Linked DNA regions of Callithrix jacchus. The protein of the gene in region 2 binds, or shares a complex with, the protein of the main gene of each other region. Links are inferred from orthologs where the notes say so. Each region holds a gene or a part of one and is shown on either strand. Other genes may lie near its edges.

The links. Proteins that work in one complex are often made in the same cells at the same time.
Region 1: the proteins of CLTC (region 2) and DLGAP5 are in contact, whole or in part, in a crystal structure (PDB 7ZX4), measured with the Homo sapiens proteins. The link is inferred for Callithrix jacchus from reciprocal best matches to the Homo sapiens genes CLTC and DLGAP5. Residues at the interface, in NP_004850.1 of Homo sapiens: Val50, Arg64, Pro65, Ile66, Ser67, Ala68, Leu82, Lys83, Ala84, Thr87, Gln89, Phe91, Ile93, Lys96, Ser97, Lys98; in NP_055565.3 of Homo sapiens: Gly833, Asn834, Leu835, Ile836, Thr837, Phe838, Ser839, Pro840, Leu841.

Annotation. Positions count from the first base shown.
Region 1 is NC_133509.1:89,746,627-89,756,303, forward strand, and holds part of DLGAP5 (disks large-associated protein 5), read right to left. Parts: intron 8,024-9,677; coding exon 7,961-8,023; intron 6,865-7,960; coding exon 6,780-6,864; intron 6,350-6,779; coding exon of another isoform or gene 6,348-6,349; coding exon 6,225-6,347; intron 5,269-6,224; coding exon 5,198-5,268; intron 2,746-5,197; coding exon 2,471-2,745; intron 1,084-2,470; coding exon 956-1,083; intron 486-955; coding exon 359-485; intron 1-358. UniProt on the Homo sapiens protein: Potential cell cycle regulator that may play a role in carcinogenesis of cancer cells. Mitotic phosphoprotein regulated by the ubiquitin-proteasome pathway.
Region 2 is NC_133506.1:94,189,221-94,199,664, reverse strand, and holds the start of CLTC (clathrin heavy chain 1), read right to left. Parts: upstream 6,917-10,444; 5' UTR 6,690-6,916; coding exon 6,648-6,689; intron 1-6,647. UniProt on the Homo sapiens protein: Clathrin is the major protein of the polyhedral coat of coated pits and vesicles. Two different adapter protein complexes link the clathrin lattice either to the plasma membrane or to the trans-Golgi network.

The DNA.
Region 1 (9,677 bases), on a different chromosome or scaffold from region 2:
TGTATTGTATGCTATTGTATTTTTAAGAAAGAAAAATTGTGTATGTTTGTATTTGTCTACATGCATTAACTATCCATGGAAATATTCACAAGAAATGAGTAACACTGGCCTTCATGAAAGGTTCACAATATGCAGTTGGGACACAGTGCTGAGAAGGAGACTTCTCACTTGTACCTTTTGAATTAGGAACCACATGAATGTACTAGCTATCAAAAAAAAATTTTTAATTTACAAGATAAGAGAAAATCACCAAACGTCAAGTTTCCTCCCACTGTATGAAGGTTAAAAATTTTCGGTTTTGGTTTTAAATGTCTAGACATTAATACAAAATTCTTACACTAGAAACAGACAGACATACCTGAAATATGGCACATCACGGTAGGGCTGAGATATTTGACCTTCATTTGTTTCAAGTGATGAGACTTCTTTTATTGGAAGGTCATTTGAATCTTTAGTAGTAGCTTCATTTTTATTTAAAATATGTTCTATAAAGAAAGTCTTACATATAATTTCCAAAGCAACAATTCCTAAAATGACAGCCCCTAAAAAAACCTTTTAAAAATCCTTCAGTTTTTTTCCATGTTTGATTTTAAAATTTTATTTCTGTCTGAATGACTTCATTCACATTTCCCCTAAAGTAGCTCTGAATATTTTTTTCTTTAAATTTACATTTATTTCCCCTTTTATCTGTATTCTTCATTCCAATTCTGTCTTCAGATATCTTTACCCATGCCTTCCCATCTTTTCTGACAGCGAGTTCATATATGACCCTTAGTTCATATCCTCAAATGATATGGTGAAAAAGGGCTCTAAATGAATCTGACAATAATCCAGAAAAGTAAAAATTTAAATTACTACACCTGAAAGTAAAAGATTTTTTTGTATTATCAACAACATTAATCTAAAAAATAAATACATTAAATAAATAAATAAATACATTAATTAAATACTATACCTTCATGCCCAACAGTCAGAGGACCCAAAGGACATTGCAATTTATTTGAATCCTGCTGCACTGTCTTGGTAGAGTAAGTTTTACATTTTTGTGCCAAAATTTCTTTTGTTGCTTCTTGAGATTTATCACTAAAAACAATAGCAAAAATATACACTTGATGAAACATGAACTCCATATATCTAATTTTAGGGGTTTCAAAGTTGTGTCACTTTTTATAAATCTTGGCTAAAAAGGAAATTCTTCTATTTTTAAAAAAATGTGCATTCTGGAGGGGAGAAAATTTAAACACCTATAGTGTAAATGTCCATCTTTACTAATTAATTGCAATGATATTAAATATTTTGAAGACTTCTTTTTGGTTTTTTTTGAGATGGAGTCTTGCCCTTTTGCCCAGGTTGGAGTGCAATGGCCTGCTCTTTGGCTCACTGCAACCTCCACCTCCTGGGTTCAACCAATTCTCCAGCCTCAGCCATCCAGAGTAGCTGGGATCACAGGCAAGTGCCACTGCGCCCGGTATCTTTAGCAGAGACAGGGTTTCATCATGTTGCACCAGGCTGGTCTTGAACTCCTGACCTCAGGTGATCTGCCCACCTCAGCCTCCCACAGTTCTGGGATTACAGGCATGAACCACCGGGACTGGTGATTTTGAAGATTTTTAAAATTTTTATTTATTTACTTTTTTTGGTGCCATGACTTGGATGAATATTTCTTAATAGAACATAAACACTTAATAGTCTTAGATGCTGCTGAGCAGTTTCTAGTATATTTGCTGTCAGCCAGTCTTTGCAAAATGATCTTGCCTTTTCTTTTAAAGGTTCCAACTAATTTTTCCTGTTTTATAAAGTAATCATTTTTGTCTTCAGAAGCAGTTTTTCTAAATACTGAGCCAGAAAAAAATGAGGAAAAAGTCATATCTGAGCTACAGTATTATAACAAGTTTCTTCTTTTGAAAAATGTTATTTGTGTTAAGTAACTCATTAAAAACAAAAAAACCCCAAATTGTATAGTGAAAATAATAATGCATAGGAAATATAGAAACTGTCAAGTACATTATTGTACCTTCTGAAGAATTTTTTAAAAGAAAAAAATTTCATGGTTCATAACTAACATAGTTCAATAGCTAAACAACTTTTTAAGAGCACAGGCTAGCCGGGTGCGGTGGCTCACACCTGTAATCCCAGCACTTTGGGAGGCCGAGGCGGGTGGATCACGAGGTCAAGAGATCGAGGCCATCCTGGTCAACATGGTGAAACCCTGTCTCTACTAAAAATACAAAAAATTAGTTGGGCATGGTGGCGTGTGCCTGTAATCCCAGCTACTCAGGAAACTGAGGCAGGAGAATTGCCTGAACCCAGGAGGTGGAGGTTGCGGTGAGCCGAGATTGCGCCATTGCACTCCAGTCTGGGTAACAAGAGCGAAACTCTGTCTCAAAAAAAAAAAAAGAGCACAGGCTAAATATAAGAAAGGCATTTATTACCCATCTTAGCAAGGGACTTATTAATATTACATTCTTACACTTCTGTTTTTGAAGGAGTCCAGGTGTAACTGGGTGTCAAAAAAGCATTGGCACTTCTGGGAGTCATAGGTGTTACTTGATAGGTCTTGAGACCATCCAGTGGCTGAAACGTAAAATCTTTAGGTGCGAAGGAATTCTTCCCTTTCATTTTTGCAGAATGTATCTCAGGTAAGTTTTCCATTTTTGATAAGACTCCATCTGGATCTTTTCCATTTGTTGCACTAGTTTGTGAATCCAAAGTATTTTCTTCACTATAGACTTCACAAGAAATACCCTAGGATGTGAGTTAACATAGTAAGATTTCTCTCTTCTGAGGATATATTCAACCAATTTTTATATGTCTGAAAACATGACAACTGAAATATATGTACTACGTGCATAATTTGAAAGACAAAAACAGATACAGTTAAGTGTATACATGGAATCCGAAGACCGGTTATGCTAAACCATTGCTATTCCCCAGGAATAGATAGAACCAATTCTTATTAAAAGACTAATATCAGCCGGCGTGGTGGCTCATGCCTGTAATCCAAGCACTCTGGAGGCCAAGGTGAGCAGATCACCTGAGGTTGGGAGTTCAAGACCAGCCTGACCAACATGGTGAAACCCGATTTAAAAAGAAAAAAGAAAAGAAAAGAAAAAGACTAATATCTTTTAGAAATTACAACAAACTAAAAGAGAATGGAAAATTAATATGGAAAAACTTATTCAACGAACATAGACCTTTTTACTTAAATTATGTTGATAATTACAATGGTTTAAAATCAGAAATCTAACATTATGGAATGACTATTGTTAAGGACCAAATCCTTTACTTAAACAACCTTAGATTACAAATAACCTTACCACAATACTTTTCAATGTGACACAAAAGATTAACCATATAAAATACAAAGCATATTTACTATTTCAAGTCAATTTATGACTTGGTATTTAAATATAATTTCTAGAGGTTTCTAGGCTTCTGATTTTTAATAAGATATGAACTCAAACCCAGGTATTTCAACCTGGACAAAAGTTTAAGTAGCAACACTGTTGAGGCTAGCATGGCGGTCAAAGCAAAAATTAGTGATGATCCTTAAGGGTAGAATAAATCTTAAGGGAGGACCTATAAGGTCCAGCTGCTTTATCTGCAAAGATTCATTGTATGTTTCCTTTCTTGATCTGTGTTTGATTTTTTACTAAGAATTTAGCTAGGTTACTTAATCTTTGTTACTTTTTTTAAATTAAGAAATTACACTGGTGGGGAACAGTGGCTCACACCTGTAATCCTAGCACTTTGAGAGGCCAAGGCAGGTGGGTCACCTGAGGTCAGGAGCTCAAGACCACCCTGGGCAACATGGTGAAATGCCATTTCTACCAAAAATACAAAAGTTAGATGGGTGTGGTGGCATACAGCTATAATCCCAGCTATTTGGGAGGCTGAGGCAGGAGAAGCACTTGAACCCTGGAAGTGGAGGCTGCAGTGAGCTGAGATGGCATCATTGCACTCCAGCCTGGGCAACGGAATGAGACTCTGTCTCAAAAAAAAAAAAAAAAAGAAATTATACCATAGATTTATAAGCCAAGGGATCCTCAAATGGGGCATATTTTTTTGAAGACCTTATTAGAAACCGTTGCAGATGCTGGCAGAAATTTTAGTTTAATTCTCACAACTACTCTATGTAGGTATTCCATATTAGGAATAAGAAAACAAACTCATAAATTACATAACTTGCCCAGGGTTATATAATATAGCTAATTGGAAGCAGAGGGAGTATTCAAACCCAGGCCTAAATGAATCCAAAGTCAATGCATTTCACCCCGCTCCATCCTATGTCTTGGCTAATTCCCACATAAAGGTTTCTCTCAGCTGTGTTTTTATTATTTTTCTCCATCTTCTAACCAAATTATGCTTTCCCTACATACAAAGCTCTGAAGGGTGCAGTGGCTCACATCTGTAATCCCAGCACTTTGGGAGGCCAAGGCAGGTGGATCACGAGGTCAGGAGTTTGAGACCAACCTGGCCAATATGGTAAAATCCCATCTCTACTAAAAATACAAAATTTAGTGGAGTGTGGTGGCACGTGCCTGCAGTTCCAGCTACTTGGGAGGCTGAGGCAGGAGAATCACCTGAACCTGGGAAGCAGAGGTTGCAGTGAGGTAAGATCATACCACTGCACCCCAGGCTGGACAACAAAGCGAGACTCTCTCAGAGAAAAAAAAAAAAAAAAAGCTCTGAAAATAAGATACCTGAAAAACAACAAGAACAAATCCTCTTGATGCTTTCTTATGGTCTGAGAAGTTTTTTATTTATTTTTTAATTTTATTTATTTAAATGGAGTTTAACTTGTTTACCCAGGCTGGGGTGCAACCGCACGGATCTTGGCTCACCGCAACCTCCGCCTCCCAGGTTCAAGCGATTCTCCTGCCTCAGCCTCCCGAGTAGCTGGGATTACAGGCATGCACCACCATGCCTGGTTAGTTTTGTATTTTTAGTAAGGACCAAGTTTCTCCATGTTGGTCAGATTAGTCTAGAATTCCTGACCTCAGATGATCTGCCTGCCTCGGAATCCCAAAGTGCTGAGATTACAGGTTTGAGTCACCGTGCCTGGCCTGGTTCAGGAAGTTTTAACATACATGTAGGTTAACCTCTTGAAGCAGTTCTGTCTGTTTAATTTCAACTTTATGAAAGTAGCAATGAGATTTTCAAAGCATCTAGAAGTAAAAAGATGTTTATTCTCTACCTTGTCAGGTTTTGTTTCTATGTTTTTGGCAGGTCTTCCTTTATTTGGCACCTTTCTTTCTGGTTCGTTTTCTAAAATAACAATAAAATAAAATATTTTACTAGATAGAAATGCTACATTAAAATACTAGGTAACTTGGGAAAGGAAAAGAAGAAACAGGAGAAATACATGTTTTGAAGGATTTTTATTATAAAAAGCCATATTATAAAAGAGGTTAAAAACAAATGGAATTTCCTGCCAAGTACAGACCATCTGCTTTCAAAGCCAGAGTGTTTCACCTTTTCCCTCTGAATACCAAATACAAATTGAGTATCCCGTATCCAAAATGCTTGAAACCAGAGGTATTTTAGATTCCAGATTTTGGAATGTATATACTATACTTACAGGTTCAGCATACCTGATACAAAAATCTAAAATCTGAAATACTCCAGTGAGCATTTCCTTTGAGCATGACCTTTAAATGTCATGTCGTTGCTCAAGATTTTGAATGTTTTGATTAGGGTTGCTCAACCTGTACATATTTATTACAATTAGAAAAATACAAAAGACTATGAAGAACAGCAATGAAAAGATCACCCAGATTCCATTACTCTGTTGTCACTTAGAGTATGGTTTTCCAGTCCTATATCCACATAATCACATACTGTTTTTTAGAATTGTGATCCTACTGTACAGTTTGACCTGCTTTTCTTTGCCCACTTAATATATCATGAACCATGTCATTAAGTGCTCTTTTATAATATTGTTCTTAATGGCTACATTATATTGCCCCAAATAAATGAACTATGATTTATCAGGACCATTAATTTTTCATTTTGAAACACTGCTTATACCAATTCAGGTCTTCAATGTTTGGGCATCCATGATGTGCCAACTGGATGTCAAGACACAGAATCTAGTTTCAGGAATTACAATTTCCTGTTTCCTTCTCTCCTACTCAAAGTACTTGTTGATTTTTGAAACAGAATACAAAAACCTCAAGGACCAAACATTCTAGTTCAGTAACTGATCAAGGAATAGTTCTTACCATTAGCAGCTCTTCTGACTGGCTTTCTTGCTGTGGTAGATGAGACTGTTCTGGGAACCTGCTTTGCCGCTTCAGTAGCTGATCGAGTCATTCTCAATGCCATGGGCATTACAGGCTGCACAACTGTGTGGAAAAAAAATAATCAAATGTCCTTTGTAGTTATTAAATTATGGCTGTGAAGCCGGGCATGGTAGTACATGCCTGTAGTCCCAGCTACTCAGGAGGCTGAGGCGGGAGGATCACTTTAGCCCAGAAGTTTGAAACCAGCCTGGGCAACATAGAGAGGTCCCATTATCTAAAAAAACTGTAAAAATCAGCTGGGCATGGTGGCAAGCCTGTAGTTCTAGCTACTTAGGAGGCTGAAGTGGGAGGATCACTTGAACCCAGGAGGTGGAGGCTCCAGTGAGCTATGATTGCGCTACTGCACTCCAACCTGGGCGACAAGCCTGTCTCAAATAAATAAATCAATAGATTCCAGTTGACCTTCTGGACACTTAAAAAAAATTATGGCTGTGGTAGCCTTAGAGAATTTATAGTAATTGCTAATATTCCTACCTTTTTTCTCTTTGTCTGACACTTTCTTTTCAGAAGTTTTTCTTTGACCAGGTCGGACTGCTTGAACATCACTGTCATCATCCATCTATTTAAGAGATTAGGTGCCATGTGATTTAATTGCAAAATGAATCAAAGCACCACATTTTTAATCCATAAATTGATTCCTCATCTGAAATATGATCGTTGTAAATGACCCAACCAAAAAAAAAAAAACCTACTAACCCAAATAAAATGAGATAAAATAAAAAAGCTTTCCATTAAGCTTCCAAAAAAGCTTACATCCTTTTTCAGAATCACAGATTTTAGAAAATGCAAATAACCTAAGCTATTAAAAACTGCTAACTATAACTTGCCTTCTGAAGGTTTTTAAACACTCCAGACATGCTTTCACTTCAAGAGATTTTAATTTTGCCTAGAAAATGCTTCTCCTGGATAAAAAGCTCTTTTCCATGGTTCTCTCCTGTACTCCCATAATGACTTTACTCAAAAGGCTTTCATCTCAGAGAGGCCTTCCTTGACTGCTCAATCAAAATTCTACCCCCCACACCTACTTCTAGCACATCCCATCTCCCTTTTAAAAAATCTCCTCCATAATACTTATGCTCTTCTAACATATTATGTTTGTTTTTTTTTTTTTTTAACTGCCTTACATGTAAGTTCCACAAAGACAGGAAATTTATTATTATATTCAAAAGCTCACAACAATGCCAGGAACATCATAGCAATGCAAAATCAATTACATATGCATATGTGGAACTTAGCTTCCTTCCCTGATAAAGAGGCATACTAATTCCCTTTGCCCACTTCACTTTTAGTAACCCTCCTAATATCTTTATTACAGTATTGTGAAGACCCATAAGTTTATAACACCTACCCTGTGTGTTTTCCTCCCCATCTGCATTTTATGCAGGTAACTTGAATGCATAACATGAACCCAGTAAACAAAACAAGAGTGTGACACAAAGACAGTTTGCCATGGATCTCATAAGGAATGTTGGAGCAAATATTTTAAGTGAAATTACTCTACATCACCATACCAAAAACAGTGACTTTCATACCTGTTAACTCTAGTAAATTAACCATTATGCTTGATTCTGATACTAGATTAAAAGTGAATTTATTCACTCTGAAAAAAAGTACAATTTATCATTTTAGTAACAATTATCTACTATCAACTATACCTTAGTCTGCTCCATTTGGTCTTTGGCCTTTGACCTTGTAATCCGTACAGAAGATGAAATAGCCTTAGAATATTCAAAAGAAAATAAACTTTAAAAAAACGAACTGGCAAATAAGAAAAAAAAAAAGAACTGGCAAAGGTTTACTTCCATATCTTATTACAAAATAAAGTTCTCTTTTTAAAGTTAAATTCTATCCTTAATCCCTTATAGCAGCAAAAATATACTTACTTAAATTCCTATTTTTTTCTGGTTCTAGCCTGATTTAAATTAAGTTTAAGTCAATAACTTCAAAAATCACTCATATTTCTCAATGAGAAAGAAATTTCAAACCACATTTTCCAGGTATTGTAATCCTCATTAATATGATTAACTAGACAGTAAGAATGCCACAGATGAGCAGATTAGAGTTATTAGGATCTTTGTTTTCTATTTATAAAAAGCTATCTTACAGCTTTCCTAGTTTTGAGTTCTAACAATTTGCTTTTGATTCTCATGATTATGCACTTGTCCACTGTCCATAAGAAAACAGAGACTTGATCACAAAATGTGGAAAACTCTAGCAAGAGAAAAAATGATTAAAAAGTGATAAGATATTTACTAAGTCTGTAAAATTCCTTAAAAAGCATAATCACAGACTTCTCTAGATTAGAAACCATTTTTTTCTAATCAGTGAAAACCTAGTGCTAAAAACTAGTCTTTCTTCTAGAGTGCATAAAGAAAGCAGAATTCATCAATGGCTACCGTAAAAACAGAATATAAAAACACTGATTGGTGAATCTTATTATTTAATACCATGATGTACCTCTGTTCCTATTTAACACTTTTTAAATAGTTGTTTGGAGTTTAGACCAGTGATTGGTATCCTACATATTCTTGAAAAGCCAGCTTAAATCTAACCCTTTCCAAGAGTAGTTCTTTGTTGTTCCTCCAAACAGAAACAATCTCTCCCTCCTCTCATATAGAAAATATTTATCTATATCTTGCCACCTTGAATTGTATCCTATTAGTTTTGGTCTCTTCCATATTATACTAAGGTTATACCAGAGTAAATAATCAAGGATCTGTCCAATGAATCAATGAGATTCACAATGCCAAGAATAATATTCAAGTTTTACTTAAATCAGGAATGTACATACAGTCAATGAGATCATCAGTGACTACAAATTTACAATCTAGCTGCTTTTGTTCAAACTTTATCCTTCCTGACTCACTGACCACACTCTCCTTTAGATTACTCTGCCTTTAACCTTCTATCCTTTTAGTTCTCTTGCCTCTCTGCCCAGTCCTCAGCCTGGTACCTGACTTCTGCCCACCTGAAGGTGCTCTCTAGAGTCCACTTTTTCATAATTTTATATATCCTAATTGGAATGGTCTCAGTCCCACAGCTTAAATTCCTGTCCATACTCCCAGTATTATATCCTAAATCTACATCCTAGCACCAATTTCCATCTTGCTTTCCAAATTTTTACTCACTGGTATCTAGATGTTTTACACAAGTTTAAGATTTTTAAAAAAGGTTATTAGCATGCACCCACTTAAACCTGTTCCTTTTCTTGTCTTATCTCTTTTAGCAGCAGCATAATTTATATGGTTAATCAAACTAATAGCTTCAGAATCTTCTCTCTGCTTTTTCAATTTCCTTTACCTCTCACCATCTACTCGGCCACCAGTCCTGTCAAATGCCTTTCTTCAGATGTCTTACACCTAGCTTCTCATT
Region 2 (10,444 bases):
GAGTTAAGAGCATCAGCCACAGGCACTTGACCAAGAAGGGAAAAAAAGACACCCAGAGCTACAAACTTTCCTATGGCTCAGAAGACCAGTTTATTTACTGAAGTGGTTTTGGCACGGCATATATGTACATGAACTTAGAGAAACAGCATTATTCTAATACACAGGACTAAAACATCAGCTATGAACCAACTATTCATCTAAGTGAGAATATTCACTTCAACACTACTACCTTAAAAAAGGACACATAAAATAACTCTAACAAAGGCCTGACTGGTATTCCATATGGGTATTTTATCTGATACGATTAAGTTTTTTTTCAAATACATCTGATCAAGGAACCCTAATTTAAAATGTACAAGTGGCACACAGTAAGACTCATGGAATATAATAAAAGGTTTATTTAAATTTTTCTTTTTTGGGGCAGTTTCAGAGTGTAATCAACTCTGTTTCACGTCGGTATTTCTATTAAATTGTGCACTATCTCAAATGTTCAAATATATAAAAGATCCACAATCAAGTAGACAACATCAGTAGTTGGAATGACAAGTGGGCACCCTTTGCCAACTAATCAGTGGAAGCCTGAAAGCAAGGAGTAGTCCATCTTGTTTACCACCTTGTCCCTAGAGTCTAACACAGTTCCCGATATGAAGTATTCAAATCTTAGGTAAATACACTAACCCCAAATACTTACACCCCATAAAATGCTGGATCTGCAAATGAATACTGTGTCATTGGTCGAGATACTTGAAGAAAACGTACTGGACAAAAATTATTTAGCCAATAATTAATGCTCCTAAAAGTGTTACGTAAGTACTTTCACATATATGACCTCAGATCCTCATAATAACTTTGTGAGATAGTATGCCTATTTCCCAGAGAAAAAGCAGCAAGAGGTTAGACTTAACCTGTGTTGCCCAATATGGTAACCATAAGACACAACCCACATATGATACCGAGTACTTGAAATGTAGTACCCAAAGTTTAATTAAAATTAAATGATTAAAAAATCCAGTAAGTGATTCAATTACTGGAAAACTTAAGTATGTTTGGGATCACTGAAGTATTGCATATCTCCTTTTTTTTTTTTTTTCATTTTTATTTGTTTATTTAATATAGAGACAAAGTCTCACTCTGTTGCCCAGGCTGGTCTCGAATTCCTGGGCTCAAGCAATGCTCCTACCTTGGCTCCCAAAGTGCTGAGTTTACAGGCATGAGCCACCTCCCCCAGCCCAAAATCTGACTTTCTAACTGTAAATTTTATGAACTCTAAATACTGACTAGTTATTTCCAACGAAAATAGGGTTTGAATTGATATCTGCTCTAAGTATAAAACACACATGGCTAGGCGCGGTGACACATGCCTATAATTCCAGCACTTTGGGAGGCAGAGATGGGCCTCCTGAGGTTAGGAGTTTGAGACCAGTCGGGGCAACATGGTCAAACCTCATCTCTACTAAAAATACAAAAAATCAGCCAGATGAGGTGGCAGGCACCTGTAATCTAATCCCAGCTATTCAGCAGGCTGAAGCAGGAAAATCACTTGAACCCACGGGTCAGTGGTGGCAGCGAGCTGAGATCATGCCATTGCACTCCAGGTTGGGTGACAAGAGTGAGTCTCTGTGCCTCCCCCTGGCAACCAAAAAAAAAAAAGAAAAAAGAAATACACACTAGGCTGGGTGCAGTGGCTCATGCCTGTAATCCCAGCACTTTGAGAGACCGAGGCAGGTGAATCATGAGGTCAGGAGTTCAAGACCAGCTTGGCCAACATGGTGAAACTCCTGTCTCTACTAAAAATATAAAAAATTGGCCAAGAGTGGTGGTGCGCGCTTGTAATCCCAGCTACTACTCTGGAGGCTAAGGCAGGAGAACTGCTTGAGCCCAGGAGGCAGAGGTTGTGGTGAGCAGAGATCACCCATGCCACTGCACTCCAGCCTGGGTGACAGAGGAAGACTCCCTCCCTCTCTCTCTCTCTCTCTCTTACACACACACACACACACACACACACACACACACAAACACAGACAAATTAATTGCTTTTATCTGTTTTTTCACTTTTAACGTGGCTGCTAGAAAATGCAAAAATATGTGAGGCCACGGGCGGCGGCTCACGCTTATAATCCCAGTACTTTGGGAGGCCAAGGTGGGCAGATTATTTGAGGTCAGGAGTTGGAGATAAGCCTGGTCAACATGGTAAAGCCTTGTCTCTACTAAAAATACAAAAATTAGCCAGGCATGGTGGCAGGTGCCTATAATCCCAGCTATTCAGGAGGCTGAGGCAGAAGAATTACTTGACTCTGGAAGTTGCGGTGAGTTGAGATCACACCACTGCACTCTAGTCTGTGTGACAAAGTAAGACTGCCTTTAAAAAAAAAAACAACAGTATGTGGCTCATATTTTTCTATTGGAAACACTGGTTTCAACAACCCCTAAAGCCCTGTTCTACTATACCACATCATTAATCTATAAACAAGTAGAGAGAACTCAATTCTCTGGGTCTAAGTTCTCTTTTTAAGGCTAACTATTCAATTTCTTTGAAATACTTTGTGTCAGAAGACCCAGGCACACATCTCATTTGGACAGCATTCCCACTACTTTTGAGTCTCACTTTTTAGAAAGCTGTCTGGAGGACTGAATGAAGACCTGAAAATACCTAACCAAATTTACAGCAGTAATAAGGTCTCAAGTCTGCTTCTAGTCATTGTTCATTACCACCACTTTCCAAGACAGTATTCAGTTAAAACTTCTGAACAATGAGTGTTTTAATTTTATCTAATGAAATACATATACATGAGTGGTAAGCTAAATCTTCAAACTTACAAAGCACATCAGCATGGCCTGTAATTGTGCAGTCTAATATTGTAGTCAATTGTCACATGTGGCTATTTACATTTAAATTAATTAAAAAGAAACTGAAGCACAAATTTAGTTCCTGAGTCACATCAGCCACATTTCAAGTGCTCAATATCCCTATGTAGTTAGTAGACAGTTCCATCATTGAAGAAAGTTCTATTGGACAATAACTCTCAAAGAGAAAAAGCCACAACAGTAACAATGACAGAGAAAACATCTTGTTAAAAATAATTCAAATAACATATAGAGTTAAACATATGCATGGAAGAAACAATTTTGCAAAGAAGCTGAGGACTCAATGTAAATGGAACCTTTTAAAAGCAAGGTACAAGTTCCAATTATGGTCAGAAACAATTGTTCAAGAGCAACTACCAAGGTTCCTGAAATGTGAATTTTCCTAAATACTCAAATGAAAATGATTGTGTTCTACATACACACCATTCTGTGCCTTATTCCTAATCAGAGTGAAAGCACTTTCACTAAAGTTAACCACACCACTTTAAGCTAAGTAAACTGACCATTAAGAAAATTCTGAAGAATATGATACATTTTAAACTTAGAAGTTATTCCCAGGAGACTGCAGCATAATTCCAGGAAGTATACCTCTTCCAGACAGTACAACTAAGCATGTAGTAAATCCTAGTACTTAGCATTGCTTTCTATTTGCAACCCAAAATAACTATAGCAGGAATCCCTAACATTTGACTCAACGAAACATTCCATGCCTGCTTTTATGGATCAAAGGGCAAAGAATAGGTTAGGGTGATTTTTAATTGGAGACTCAAGGAGTCTAGAAATACAAAAGAATGTTTCAGGTGGCCTAAAGATACTTAATGTGCCAAAAAATTGAGAATTACAGGCAATAATTTATATATGTAGCCTAGGATTTTTAAGAAACTGCAATTCCAACAATATCTTGCTCAAATAGGCATTCATTTATTAACTGCTATCCATCTAGAAAAAAAGAAATATTCATAAATTAAAATTCATTTACTATCAGTCCACTGATGATGACAGATCCTTCAACTGGACAATGTAGTTAAAGGGTATAAAAATAAGTTCATTTACAGTTTCATAAGCTAACTCTATACTCATACTTAAGTTCCTCATTTCTTGTTTCCAGTTTTTATCTTACGTGTTTCAGAAAGTTTTCTGCATCTTAGCAAACAGGTAGAAGCTCAGAGGTCAGAGACCAAAGACACCAATCAAAATAATCCTTATTAGTTCGGCTTGGGGGTTCACACCTACTATCCCAGCACTTTCGGGGGGCAGAGGCAAAGGATTGCTTGAGCCCAGGAGATTAGCCTGGGCAACATGGTGAAGCCCAATCTCTACAAAAAATACAAAAATTAGCCAGGTGTGGTGGCTCATGTCTGTAGTCCCAGCTACTCAGGATGCTGAGGTGGGAGGACGGCTTGAGTCCTGGAGGTTAAGGCTGCAGTGAGCTGTGATGGCACCACTGACCTCTAGCATGGAAGACAGAGCAAAAACCCTGCCTCTTCAAAAAACAAAAACCTTCTAAGTTTTAAAAAGGGAGGAGATAATGATATGAAGTCAGGACATACATTATCATGGAAGAGGCTGCGGTTATTGGGCTCTGCAATTAATCAGCTGGAGCACACAGTCACATTAGTTAAGCAAGCTTAAGTTTAGGCATGACATAGCAATCCAAAAAACAGACTGAATTTTTCAATTTACAAATCTGCTTTATATTCAAAATCTTCAAATTATTTGAGAAGAAAATGGCTTTGCTCAAGTATCTGCAGAAACTTTGAACCAGTTAGAAAACAGATGTATTAAATTTGTCTTCGATAACTGACGAGGTTGGGTTCCAATCTTTGGGATCATTTAACAATTCTTGTCTCCTCTTTAAAAGAAATGAAAAGCTATTACTCGAACCACCACAAGATTTAGTAGTGAGCTATACATCTGCCGTGGAAAATAAACAGCAGCTGTACTTGATTCTCTGTGTGTGGTTTATAAACATTTGTCTGCAGAAAGATATTTCAGATGCACATTAGTATGAAAATAAGCCCATGTTTTCCTTTCACACTTAAGAACAGCACCTTCTCAACTCTCCACATTCATTTGCCACCCCAATTTAACAGAGGTAACCACGGCAATTAAACTAGAATTGATCAGAAAAACATGTCCATTTTTGTCACTGAACATTTTTTTTCTTCTTTTTTAACCTGGCAACTTTCATTTAAGTCACTGAACATTTTCAACCTTCTGCAAAAGTTTTTTTATTGCCAAGGTATATTCCATTACTTCAGATGAGTTATTTGAAAATTATGACTAAAGAAAGTGCATTATTTAACTCATTTTATGGGTAAAGACTTATTATTCTTTACATTTCAAGCCTTAAAGGAAAATAATTCCTTGCTAGTGCAAATATGGTAATACCTGCAAAGAAATATGAAATTACGTTACTTATAGCTTGAATTATTAAACCCTTTTATTAACAAGAATCCTTTATGCATGTTATGCCAATGGGGGAAATGTAAATAAAAATGGTCTTCAATGGTAAAGTGTCTAACAGGTCACCGGTATTAGTGTCATGCCAAACCACCGCATTCTCTGTTATGATGGAATTAGCCCTTCAGACCATTGAGCTGAGGCAGGCTTCTTTAAGAGGATATTTGGGAAGAGAGCAAATTAATAGGAATAAGTTATTTTAGCTACAGTAAAAATCAGGATTGGTGACACCGGAAAATCAAAAGCTCTGAAGAGGTTTAAATTCAGTGAAGCCTTCCAATGGTCACCTGCCTAGGCCGGCAACTGGCATGCTGCCAGATGAGACAATAATATGTTGCCTCCAGGATAAGGAACCATGGGGAAGAACTCTAGAACTTACTAAAGGGAAGCCAGTTACAGACAAAATAACCCTGCAAGTCTCAGAGCAGCTGTGCTCTGTCCCCAGGGCTCTGTTCAATTCCATATGATCCTGAGGAAGATATCAAAACTACCTGCTACTACTAGAGAAGACTAGAAGATAACCTCTGCGTAACTTTCCCACCTTCTAGAACCAGAGAGGGGTTAAGAGCCACAACATCCCCAGAGAAATAAAAAAGTGGGGGAAGGGAGGCGAGTTTCCCTAGGGATCTTGACCCCACACACTCTGAGATTGACAACGTTCTGAGAAACGCGTTCCCCCATTCTACCCTCGTTCCGTTCTTTCAGTGACCTTCTGTCCCTACTGCCTCAGGGAAGGCAAGAGACAAACCAACGCCTCACCAACCCTCAACCCTCACCACCGGAGAAGGTGCCTTTCTCAGTTGAGAGCCGCAGAGGGAGGAAAAAAAAAAAGGTTGCTCCTCCCCAACCCACCCGCCCCACAACTCCTGGGTGCAGACACGATGAGGAAAAGAGGAAAGCAATAGAAGGTGACAGCCCTGCACTGGCCCAGGGGATGATAAGAATCCTTGCTCTGATAGAAACAAGGGAGAATCCCCCCTCCCACTCCCCTACCCAAATGAATGAACTAAATAAAATGGGGAGGGGAGAGTTAGTAGGCGCAGTACCGGCCATCCAGGAAGCAAGATCGAGAGGCCTTTGGATCCAGGCCTGGCCTTGCAGCCCTTTGCTCCCCAACTCCCGTCCTTTCCATCCAAGCCCCACATCATTTAACCTTTTAAGCTTTCTAAGATACTGCCCCCTCCTCCATCTACCCCAAACACCGATAACCTCCCCCCCCCACCCTTCCAGCTCCAATACTGCTCAGGCCCAGACTCCAGCTTCTTCCATCCTTCCTACCACCTTCTCCACAGCCCTCACCAGCCCGGGCCCGGCCGCACCTGGAGATGCTCCTGAAAACGAATTGGCAGAATCTGGGCCATGGCGCTGTCGGGGGGTATGGTCTCCTCCTGTCACTGGGACTGCGGGGCAGTGGCTGCCCGGGCTCTCCAAGGGAGAGGAGGAGAAGGGGAGGGGGAAGGCTGGGCTCAGCAGGATCCTCTCCGGGGACGCAGGAAACTGGCAGGCGGACGAAAGAGCTCGGGTCGGGGGCGGAGGCTCCAGGGGCCAAGAGAGCCGCAATGGCGGAACCGGGCGCAGCGCAGACTCCGGAAACGGCTGAGCCCTGCGGATGGATCCCAGCGACAGAACTCCGCCCAGTCGCCTCACTCTCCTCCGCCTTATGTACCCTTCCGAGGAGCGGCGCGCGGCGGGCGCAGGAATTCGCGGCGCAGTGCGCCCAAACCCTCGCGTCCTGACGCATATGGGAAAACAGAGGAACCAGAGGGACTACTTTTTAGACTCATAATTTTCGCCAATCTTCTTTTTCTCCCCCCACCGCGGCTTTTTTTTTCATTTTGCCACATCATGCGACTCGGAGCGACCAACGTCACTTCCGTGGGTGCTTTAGGTCCCACCCACGTACTTCCATGTGCACGTGATGCTGATGGGGAAGGGTCGGCTGATTGCTGCCAGAATGGAGAGTGCGTTCCAAGGAAATGCAAGGTCTTCAGGGAGTGAGGTGGCTGTTGGGCCACTTTGAGGAATAGCGGGTGCCGCTTCCTTCCCCTGAGGCCCTTGCCTGTTTCGACTGAGCCCTTTACAGGAGGACATGGCGGGAGCATACGGGTGCAGCCTCCCGCCCTCTCCGTGACTCAGGGAAACGGCCTCGCCGCAGAGTGCTCCCTCGGCAGCTGCCTGCAGCACTCCTCCCCCGCCAGGCTTCAGAGTGGTGGTTTCCTACAGCCTAGGGAGGAGCCCTGAAACGGGGTTTAACATCCTCCCTGCCCTCGCACGCGCCCTTCTGACGGTTGGCGAACCTGATGCGCGGATTCTAACTAGAACCAGCACTCTCTTCGGGTGTTAGATAATTAGCTCAAAGGACAGCGAAGGCCATTTATGATGCCTCTCAAGCTGGCCTTATAACAGCTTTTCTTAACGTTTTTTGCGGACATTTTGTCGGACATATGCCGGCCTAGCTCAGTGGTGAGTTTCGTTAAAGAATTCGAGTATCCGAACGTTAAGGAGGATTTTTTTTTTTTTTTTTTTTGCCACATCAAACTTATGTCTCTTTAGATAATTAGGTTAAAGATGGTTGGTAAAACCTGAAGGTTCCTGGAGGAAAGAGATGAACTATTAGCCGTGTTATTTCGGTGGGATCATCTCAACACAGGTTCCTCTAGGTTAGCAGTGTAGAAATGTGGCGCTTCAAAGCCGGAGCATCCAGTCAAAGAACATGAAGGTGTCAACGGCATTCACTGATCAATAACCACCTTCCAGCACTTCCATGCTAAAGTATAAGCCATAATAGTATTTCACAGTGGCACCAATAAAGGATAAAAGAAGTTGCTTCTGTGCCTTTTATCTTTATAAAGGTGATTTCTCCCCCCAGAAAGAAAAACTCAAGTCCACAGTAATTATATTTAGTGCCCTTTTCAGATAAAGGACGTAAAACCCTATTGGGAAGACGGTAATTTTGTGTTAAGCAGTCTTGGTTAGAGTGAGAAGTTCGCCAATCATTTTAGTTGCTTCTAGTGTTTTTCCCTTAACTGTCTCACATACTGAGCATGAGAGAAGACTGGCAGGTAAGAGGGCAGTCAGAGATTGTCCTACAAAGAAAAACCTTGCCACCATGTTGTAAGAGTGAATATTTATGCTTGCAAAATTTCTTTTTGTATCGTTAAGCTAAATACACGAAGATCCTCTGTGTTCTGCAACATTTGAAATGACCTTTCTAATGCCTAATAGTAACTGGTTTAAACCCTTTTTGGAAGTAGACAAATTCTAAATTAAAATTCTAAGGGAGTAATTGTTTTATTACAGTAATTCAATAGATTGATCAAGTTATATTTTCAGTCTCAGAATCTGGAGATAAAAGAGCTGTATCATGAATTGGCTGCCAAAATTTAATTTATTAATGTGTCTTGCATTTTCATACAGATCTTGTAACTTTAAGTACATTTAGAATCCCAAAAGCAGTTGATTTTAGCTATTTGGTGTGGAATATCTAACCAAGAAGTGCACTGAGGTTCTGTTAGTGACTGCTACGTTATCACACATAGAAATCTGATGAATACACTGTTTTGAGAAATAATTTAGGAAGAGGAAAAATAGATTTTGATATTCTGGATCATTTTGAAATGATCTTCAAATCAATCCAAAAATTTCCAAAAGGAAAAAAAAAAGTCAAGATGATAAACATTAAAAAAAAAAAACAAAAACAGCAAACCCTATGCCTTTTTAAAGATGAATAATTGGAGTAGGGTAATAGGTTTTTTTTAATGGGAGTCTGCTGTTCTTGCTGACAGTATAAAGGCAGTTTCACTGGTTTAGAAAGCCCAAAAGCTGAGGCCATGTTAACAGAGTATGTGAGGTATGTTCTTGCTAACAGTATAAAGGCAGTGTCACTGGTTTAAAAACTGCAAAGGCTGAGGCCCTGTTAAGAGTTACCTAAGCAATATCTGAATGGCACTGTTTTCACACATTACTTTAAGTTAGAGGGGAGAACAGATAACCTAACAGACCGGGAAGCAAATCCTAATACCCAGAATGTTTTTTTCTTTTTTTTCAGACAGTCTTGCTTTGTTGCCCAGGCTAGAGTACAGTGGCTTGATCTCAGCTCACTGCAATCTCTGCCTCCCAGGTTCAAGCAATTCTCCTGCCTCAGCCTCCCGAATAGCTGGGATTACAAGTTTGTGCCACCATGCCCGGCTAATTTTTGTATTTTTAGTAGAGATGAGGTTTCACTATGTTGGCCAGCCTGGTCTTGAACTCCTGACCTCGTGATCTGCCTGCCTTGGCCTCCCAAAGTGCTGGGATTACAGGGGTGAGCCACTGCACCTTTCTTCCAGAATGTTTTTTTTTTTTTTCAACGATGCAGTATGACAGTCTTTTTTTTTTGCCAATCAGTTTGAGCTTATAAGGTTGCTTAGGTTAGCCTTGAACTCATGACCTCGCCTTCGCAAGCGCCACGACCTCCGGCGGGAGCCACTTTGGACCCCAACATAGTCTTTTAAAAGATAATGCTATGAATGATCACCCTAGCTTTTGGTTTCAGAAAATGTTTTAGCAAGGTAGCCATGTTAATAAAATAAATGGTGAAGTTAAGGCTATTTTTGTCATAATGCTCATCAGCAGTTCGTCCCTATCATGAGTCATAGCAAGTGCCATTAGCAAAACTACATTGCTTGGTCTGTTATTTTGAGGAGTGCTAGTTTTTCAAAACCTATACAAGAAACCTGTATATTGTCACTAATTTTAATGTTATGCTAACAACTAGGATATATACATATAACCCTCAATGGAATGACACCTCAAAAAAAACCACAAAAAACCTCTTACTGTAGGATTTCTCTGTAGCTGTTCATCTTCAAGCAGCCCTGGCATTAATGCCCCTGCTTTTTAAAAACCTGATTTTTTAAAAACAGCTTGAGGCTGGGTGCGGTGGCTCAAGCCTGTAATCCCAGCACTTTGGGAGGCCAAGGCGGGTGGATCACGAGGTCAAGAATTCGAGACCATCCTGGTCAACATAGTGAAACCCCATCTCTACTAAAAATACAAAAAATTAGCTGGGCATGGTGTCGCGTGCCTGTAATCCCAGCTACTCAGGAGGCTGAGGCAGGAGAATTGCCTGAACCCA